Saccharomyces cerevisiae S288C: one gene and its partner. Changing the gene in region 2 together with the main gene of any one other region gives a genetic interaction. Each region holds a gene or a part of one and is shown on either strand. Other genes may lie near its edges.

Region 1 (4,305 bases), on a different chromosome or scaffold from region 2:
ACCAATAAACATAGGGAAGTGAAGTGGTTAAAACTCAAAAAAACCAGGAACAATGCAAGCGTATCTTTAAACCTATGTTTTTTGGCAAATTCGGTGGGCTGTTCACTCCTTTTAGTGTTCATTAATGACTGTAGATGTGATACTTTCTTCTGATTAGTAAATTGTTCCTCCATGAAAATTGTGCATGGATCCTTTTATGTAACGGAGATAGGTGGAATCTTAAAAAATATTGGGGTGTATATGAATAAAAGTTATTCAGAGTGATTACCTAAAGAGATGGTACGAAAAATGTGGAGATAGAAAACAAAAAACTTTGGTAAGATATTATTATAACAGAAAGAATTTAAAGTTTTCTCTGCTGGTACTCTGTATAATCCTCTTAGTCCTAATAAAATTTGTTTATTCCTCTTTTAATAGAAACTAACGAGTTGTGAAAACCTAGTTATGTTACTTGTTATATTACACCTTCAAGAGGTTTAGGAATTCAACGTTATAAACACACAACTGCATAAGTTAGGCTACTTTTTTTTTTCAGATTGTCCGTATAATGCGATAATCGTTGAGTTCATGCCGATCTAAGTACCGAATTAGAAAAAAATGTGTCAAAAGTAGGCAGCCAATCTGTTTTGCTGCCATATTTTTCCTAACAGGATTTGCTATGTATGAAGTACGATAAGTATGAAATATTAGTGCTTGTACATACGACCAATTTGTAATAACTAGTGATGTAGAGAATAAACTTAAAGAAAACTTATGAATAAATAATTATGGAGATATAATTACGAATAATTATGAATAAATAGTGCTGCCTTAATTGGCACTTGCAATGGACCAAGTCTTGGCATAACCTTCAAGGTCAACAGGTTCCCAAGGAACTCCCAAGCATTCTGCAATGACTTTACCCAAATCTTCGTTTAGCAAACCAAAGTATTGCGTAACTCTCTTTTTGACTTTAGGATCTTTGATCTTACAAGCGTGGCAAACAACGTTATGAACGAATAATTTCTTCTGTTCATCGTTGTATACCTTTTCATATAGAGCTCTTGGCTGTTCGAAGTCTAGTGGACTAATACCATAAACGTAGTAATATTGATTAATTTTGGCATCAACAATATGCTCGTTTCTGATTTGGTCTTGTTCCTGTTTTCTCACAGAAACTTCTGTTACTTCGTCAAGAACTATCCCTTTGAACTTATCAGATACTTCGTCGTTGTCTTCATTTTTGAATTTCAGAGTTTGATTTGGTAAACTGGAAATATAATTTGGCTCAGGACCGAAATTGTAGTAACTCATTGGGCCGTCCCTTTGGAAGTTCACTGCTTTAAATGGACACTGTTCGGCAGTGTATTGGGAATCACCTTTGGAGTATGGACATCCCAAGTTTCTTGGTCTGTTGACGGGCAATTGCTGATAGTTGGCTCCCAATCTATGACGTTGAGTGTCTGGATAGGAGAAAAGTCTGGCTTGTAGAACGGAATCATTAGAAGGCTTAATACCTGGGATACAAGTGTTCGTTGGACTGAATGCAACTTGTTCAATTTCTTGGAAATAATTGTCAACATTCTCCGTTAGGGTGATGGTACCAAATTTTCTCAAAGGGAATTCCTTGTGTGGCCATATTTTCGTTAGGTCATTTACCGAATACCTGAACTTAGTTGCTTGTTCGGGTGTCATTGTTTGCACATAACAGTTAAATTTTGGCTTTTCGCCATTTTGCAATTGAGTGAACAGCTTTGCCTGATTATAATCAGGGTGGGAGCCTGACAGTTCAGCAGCCTTATCTCCAGTCAAGGTTTCAAAACCAGTATCCGACAAGACGTGGAATTGCACATATGTGTCCTTACCTTCTTTGTTGACCATGATGAAGGAATGACCAGAGTACGCGTTCATACTAGCCCACGAAGCAGGAGTACCTCTATCACCAAACATGTAAGTTATTTGATGGATTGATTCCGGATTCAATGTTAGATAATCCCAGTATATGGTAGTGTCCTGAAACTGATTCAGATGAGACTGAGGGTCTCTCTTTTGCGAATGAATAAATACGGGAAACTTAATAGCGTCTCTGAGGAAGAAGACGGGAGTATTGTTGAAGACCCAGTCATGGTTCCCCCACTCGGTATAGAATTTAAAAGAAACACCTCTTGGGTCTCTTGCAGTGTCTGGTGTACCACTTTCACCACCAACGGTGGAAAAACGAACAAGACCAGGACATTTGTAACCCACATTCTGGTATGGAGCGGCGTATGTAATATCACTCAAAGAATCTGTTAGTTCGAACTCCAGTCTACAACCACCACCTTTGGCATGGACTACACGCTCCGGAACTCTTTCTCTATCGAAACTTGCAATATTTTCCAGCAGATGGAAGTCTTGCAGTAAGATAGGGCCGTCTGGTCTTGAGTATTGAGAAGCGTATGGGTGATGAGAGTACGGAAAACCGTTTTGTAGAGAGTAAACTTTTTCTTGCTTTTCTTCTTTTTTACCGAACACGTTCATTTGTGAAGCTGAGCTGATTGATCTTATTGGCATGAGACAAGAGAAGGATTTTTTTAATAAGGGCAAGTAACGACAAGATTGAGTTCTGGAATAGAGGTAAAGCAACGACTTCTTATACGTGTAGCAGTAGGGGATACGATAAATGCACAATGTGTCCAGGCTACGTCGAATCCTTACAAATTCTACCTGTTGAGGGAGTCGGGGGCATTATCGGCTAGGCTAGCCTGCAGCCAGAGGGTGAAGTGAACTATACTTTTTCAGCATACGAATAGTACTGGCAATGACAATAATAACCCTTCTGGATCGGCGACGTACTCATCATTGATAGGAGGAAACAATACGCAATTTCACCGCTTGGCCCCTTACCGGTGATCCCCTTGAAAAAGAGGGCCGTCCGCGGTCTTGGCTTAGGGTCTCTGTGAAAGCACGCAGGAGAGCTGCTCAACGCGGAATGGAGATAACGGAGGTTCTATCCCCATGTGCCTCGTCATCGGTTCCTCATCATCTCTGGCTTCTTGAATTCGTTTTATTGTCACCATACAATAAGTTTGACGTCGTGAAGGCAGTTTAGTTCTCGGACTTGCAACCCCTAATCTTCAACGTCGAAAATACCTTATGACGCATATTTTAATTTTCCATCTCGCAACTAATGCTACCCTATTTTCTCTTACCAGCGAACACAATTCAAAAATTCTTAATGTTTAGCAGCTCATGCTGATATCGTATTACTATTATTACTGTGGTCATGCTAAAAAGCTGACTTATTCAATTTAATTTTTTTCTTTTCTTTTATGTTTTGATAGACAAAGGTTTTTTTTTACCTAAAATTCCTCTTTCCTCACGGACCATACGATTAAAATCATGGAAATTAAGTATTACAGTCGGTAATTTCTTTCTGGTTTTGTAAAGCCTGAAAAAATATACTAATATAGTGCAGGCGATCGTACATCTTCCAAGCATCTCATAAACCTATGCACTGTGGATTCTATGTACTTGGCAATAGATGAGCATTTCAATGAAGGAAACGCCTGAGTCAGTTATGTAAAAAGTACTACGTACGGACCAATCGAAGTGTGTAAGAGAATGTGACATCAATTGTTGTTGCATTATGTCCATTGGAATATGCAGATCGGCTGTGGCATTTGGCCAAAATGTTATAGAGTTCACACCTTATTCACATACTTTTTCATTTTCTGTGGCTTTCAAGGGTGGGGGCGGTAGTGATAACCATTCTCTAAACAAAAGCCCATGTCCCACACCAAAGGATGTTTTTTTATATCACGTTCCCTTTTCATAAAACACAAAAGAACGAATACTTTTTAAGCCGAATGAGTGACAGAAAAAGCCCACAACTTATCAAGTGATATTGAACAAAGGGCGAAACTTCGCAAAAAAAAAAAAAAAAGAAAAAGATAGTGTAGTAGTGATAAACTGGTGCTTCAATTTCTTTTTATGAATTGATCTGTATCTGCACCTAGATCGATTTGATTACAGGATAAGGGATATGGTGCGATTCGCGAGCTTTTACCAATATGTATAAAAGGCGGCTGTTTGAAGCCATTCTATCTTAATCTTGTGCTATTGCAGTCCTCTTTTATATACAGTATAAATAAAAAACCCACGTAATATAGCAAAAACATATTGCCAACAAAATGTCTGAAATTACTCTTGGAAAATACTTATTTGAAAGATTGAAGCAAGTTAATGTTAACACCATTTTTGGGCTACCAGGCGACTTCAACTTGTCCCTATTGGACAAGATTTACGAGGTAGATGGATTGAGATGGGCTGGTAATGCAAATGAGC
Region 2 (2,981 bases):
TAGATGTTGTGAATCAGTACGATCAAAATGCAGAGTCGGAGGCTTGGAATTTTTTGTTCGATATATCCAAATTTGTCTTCTCTCTTAAGCATTGTGATAGCACATTAGTTGATAAGTTTACGACAAAGTGTCAGTGTGCGCTTATCACGCTTCCTCTTTCTAATCCGCTTGAATCGACAGATGGTTCTAAAGAAGATGTAGATGCGCTTCCTTAAGTAAACACATTGCTACTTGCATTTTACCTTTCAAGATGTAGTGATTACGGACAGTTGAAGAGGCTAATAGCATCTATTTCTTCTTTAGTATATGGTTCCTGCAGGGCAAACAATTATTTCCTTTGCAATTTTGCGGCAGTGGGGAAGAATGATAGCACTAATAGTGAACTTGTGGACAATTATGCTATTATAGCAAGAAAAAAAATTTATTTTTTTTTCAAGGGGGGTGATTGTGATGTGAATTAAATCAAGGATATACGCTTTTATCGTCATGATAGTCGTGCGATTTGTACTTGGTTATAGATGAAATGAGTTAGTTTTTAATAATTGTGATCACAATATAGCTGTACTTATCAGGCCATTAAAGTTTCCTGTAAGGTGCACGAGAAGTCATGGTCATAAAATTATCAGAATCTCCAAGGAGAGGTTCAACGGCGTCGGTTGCCCATACTCCATATTAAGTACCCTGTCATTTCCACAGTTACATTAGTTGGAGTAGTATAGAAACCAAAAAGATCAGAACTCCAATAGGCAGTATTTGGGTCACAGTATTCAGTGTCACGTTTTTTAGTTTCATAAAGAGGTCCGCAAGGATCATATCCATCCTCATCACGCTTCAAAACTGCATAAGTCACACAGGTAGGAGTGCTCTCACAAGGCGGACTATAGTATATGGAGAGATTGGTCTGTCCGCTAACGGAACCTAACTTCTTTGTATTGGAGTATTCATAGCCCATATATTCAGGCTCCAAGTATGTGGTTTGGTCGCCTATTGTGTACTCATAAAAATTAATATTCATACCATCTTCCCTTTTGTTTGTTGGTAAGCAAGCTTCTGTACTGGCTAAGGTTGTAGTAGCTAGCGCCACGAAGACCAAGAGTGCCGAAAATACGGAATGGGGTATAGACATTTGAAGGTGTGGAGGGATGCTGGTATCCTCCAATTGTTACATTAAGATTATCATCTGGCTATCATGAAATGAAGGTTACCTTTATATAAGAAAGACTTTTAAAAAAATGTTTTGTTTTCTGCTTTAGGGAAGTAGATATCGTTCCTGCATTTTGATATCAAAATAATCTCCGGTAGGCATCAATTGCAGTTAAAGCTCTTTCTGGCAAAAACCCCGATACCCATGTAGGTACGCTCTTTTCACCAGGTCTTAATAATTTGATGGGCACCGTTTATCCCAGGCAAGCCAAAAATTAGAAACAAAAAACAACTCACGTACGTTAAAAAACCTGATAGTGCTTCGTACTACATAGAACCCTGCGCTGTTATCTGCTAATCGAGCACTACTAAATTCCCTCCAAAGGAAGTAGAGTATAGATTCTATGCACCGATGTGAAAATAGTAAACCTACGATAACCTTTTTTTTTTTACTAACCGAATTGAGCAGATATTGTTACCTGTTACGGTCATAAAAGTTAAACGATTTTGCTTTATTTCTGTCCCTGGCTGAAAATAGTAAAGAAGAGGGAAGGCAAGTTCAAGGGCAGCTTAATAAGTCATACGAAAACGTTCTCGAACTTTTTTTCTGCAAGCTTTTCAGAACCACGATGGAAAAAAGAAATTTTTACAACACTAATGCCAAGTAAGGTTTTTCGGATTTAGGGTGGCGTCCTGAAAAAAAAAGAAACGTCTCAGAACGTTTCGGAGAAAAAAAAATAAGGTGTCAAATTTCTTAGTGTTTTGACGGGTGATGCCCTTCCAGATAAATCTCGTGGAGATTGGCTAGCGTCAAACGTCACCGATCTCTATTTCTTTTTTAGGTTATTAAATTTCGATTACATCGCGTGTTCTTAGATAAGTTACCAAGGGTGCTCAAAGGAAAATTATATTTCTTTTTTTCTTTTGAGTAATTGCAGGTGAAGAGATACAGAGCAAGGAACGTGATGTAATGCATTTTTTTTTTTGTTCCTTGGAACCACATGATTTACTCAACAAATTAATCTAGTTTGTGCTTCAAGCATGCACCATTGTGAATATTTTTTTAGTTTCAAGGTGACAGGTTATGAAGATATGGTGCAAAAGACAAATGTATGGTGGCAGGCATAGTAAAATGATGGTGTGGAAGACATAGATTGTATTTGTTTTGCATTATCCAAGTGCTCGAGATTGGTTCTAAAAAACAAGAAAATAAAGGGCAAGAAGAAAACCAGTTACTTCTACATTGAGAGGCCAGCCAGGTTGCCGCACACGTGTTGGTGCACGTTAAGTTTTGGGCTCACAGTGGTAAATCATAGAAAAAGCAGTTGCTTAATTTCCCTCTTTTTCATATTCTCTACGCTAGCACTGTAAGGAAAAACGCAGAAAGCAACATACAACGTTTGTTAGGATGTTCGTACTTCACAATAAGCAGACAATAACCATTTCAAGTGTAAAAAAAATTTTTTTTCTGTTAGTTTGATGCAGAAGACTTATACTTTTAACTTTTTTGGTTAACTTACACAAACCAAGCGCACAACGCCTGCGCTTTTTAGTATTAGATGGCATGATTTGAAAAGCATAAAAGTCTGGATATTGGAATTTAGGGAGGCGGCGGGATAGAGCGATAGTTTCTCCCCATATAAAGTCTACAAAATGTGTGGGTTTTTGATATCGATCGAAATTTCACAAGGTGTTCTATAATGACTAACATTTTTGTGAGCAGTTGACTCTCCTTAGTGCACATTGTGGAATATGTATGCCATGTCTCTTAAAGGGGTAAAAAGAGGTATTCTGCATACTACCAGTGGGGTTTATAGCATCGTTTAATCTTGTTATCC

Evidence for each region.
Region 1: mutations in YFL051C (region 2) and CTT1 together harm fitness more than expected from each alone (negative genetic interaction), as found in Saccharomyces cerevisiae (2 studies listed by BioGRID).

What each region holds. Positions count from the first base shown.
Region 1 is NC_001139.9:652,828-657,132, reverse strand, and holds CTT1 (catalase T), read right to left. Parts: upstream 2,500-4,305; coding exon 811-2,499; downstream 1-810. Other genes in the region: NNF2 (Nnf2p), read right to left, coding at 1-173; PDC6 (indolepyruvate decarboxylase 6), read left to right, coding at 4,152-4,305. UniProt on the Saccharomyces cerevisiae protein: Occurs in almost all aerobically respiring organisms and serves to protect cells from the toxic effects of hydrogen peroxide.
Region 2 is NC_001138.5:29,415-32,395, forward strand, and holds YFL051C (uncharacterized protein), read right to left. Parts: upstream 1,127-2,981; coding exon 644-1,126; downstream 1-643. Other genes in the region: ZNF1 (DNA-binding domain containing protein), read left to right, coding at 1-215.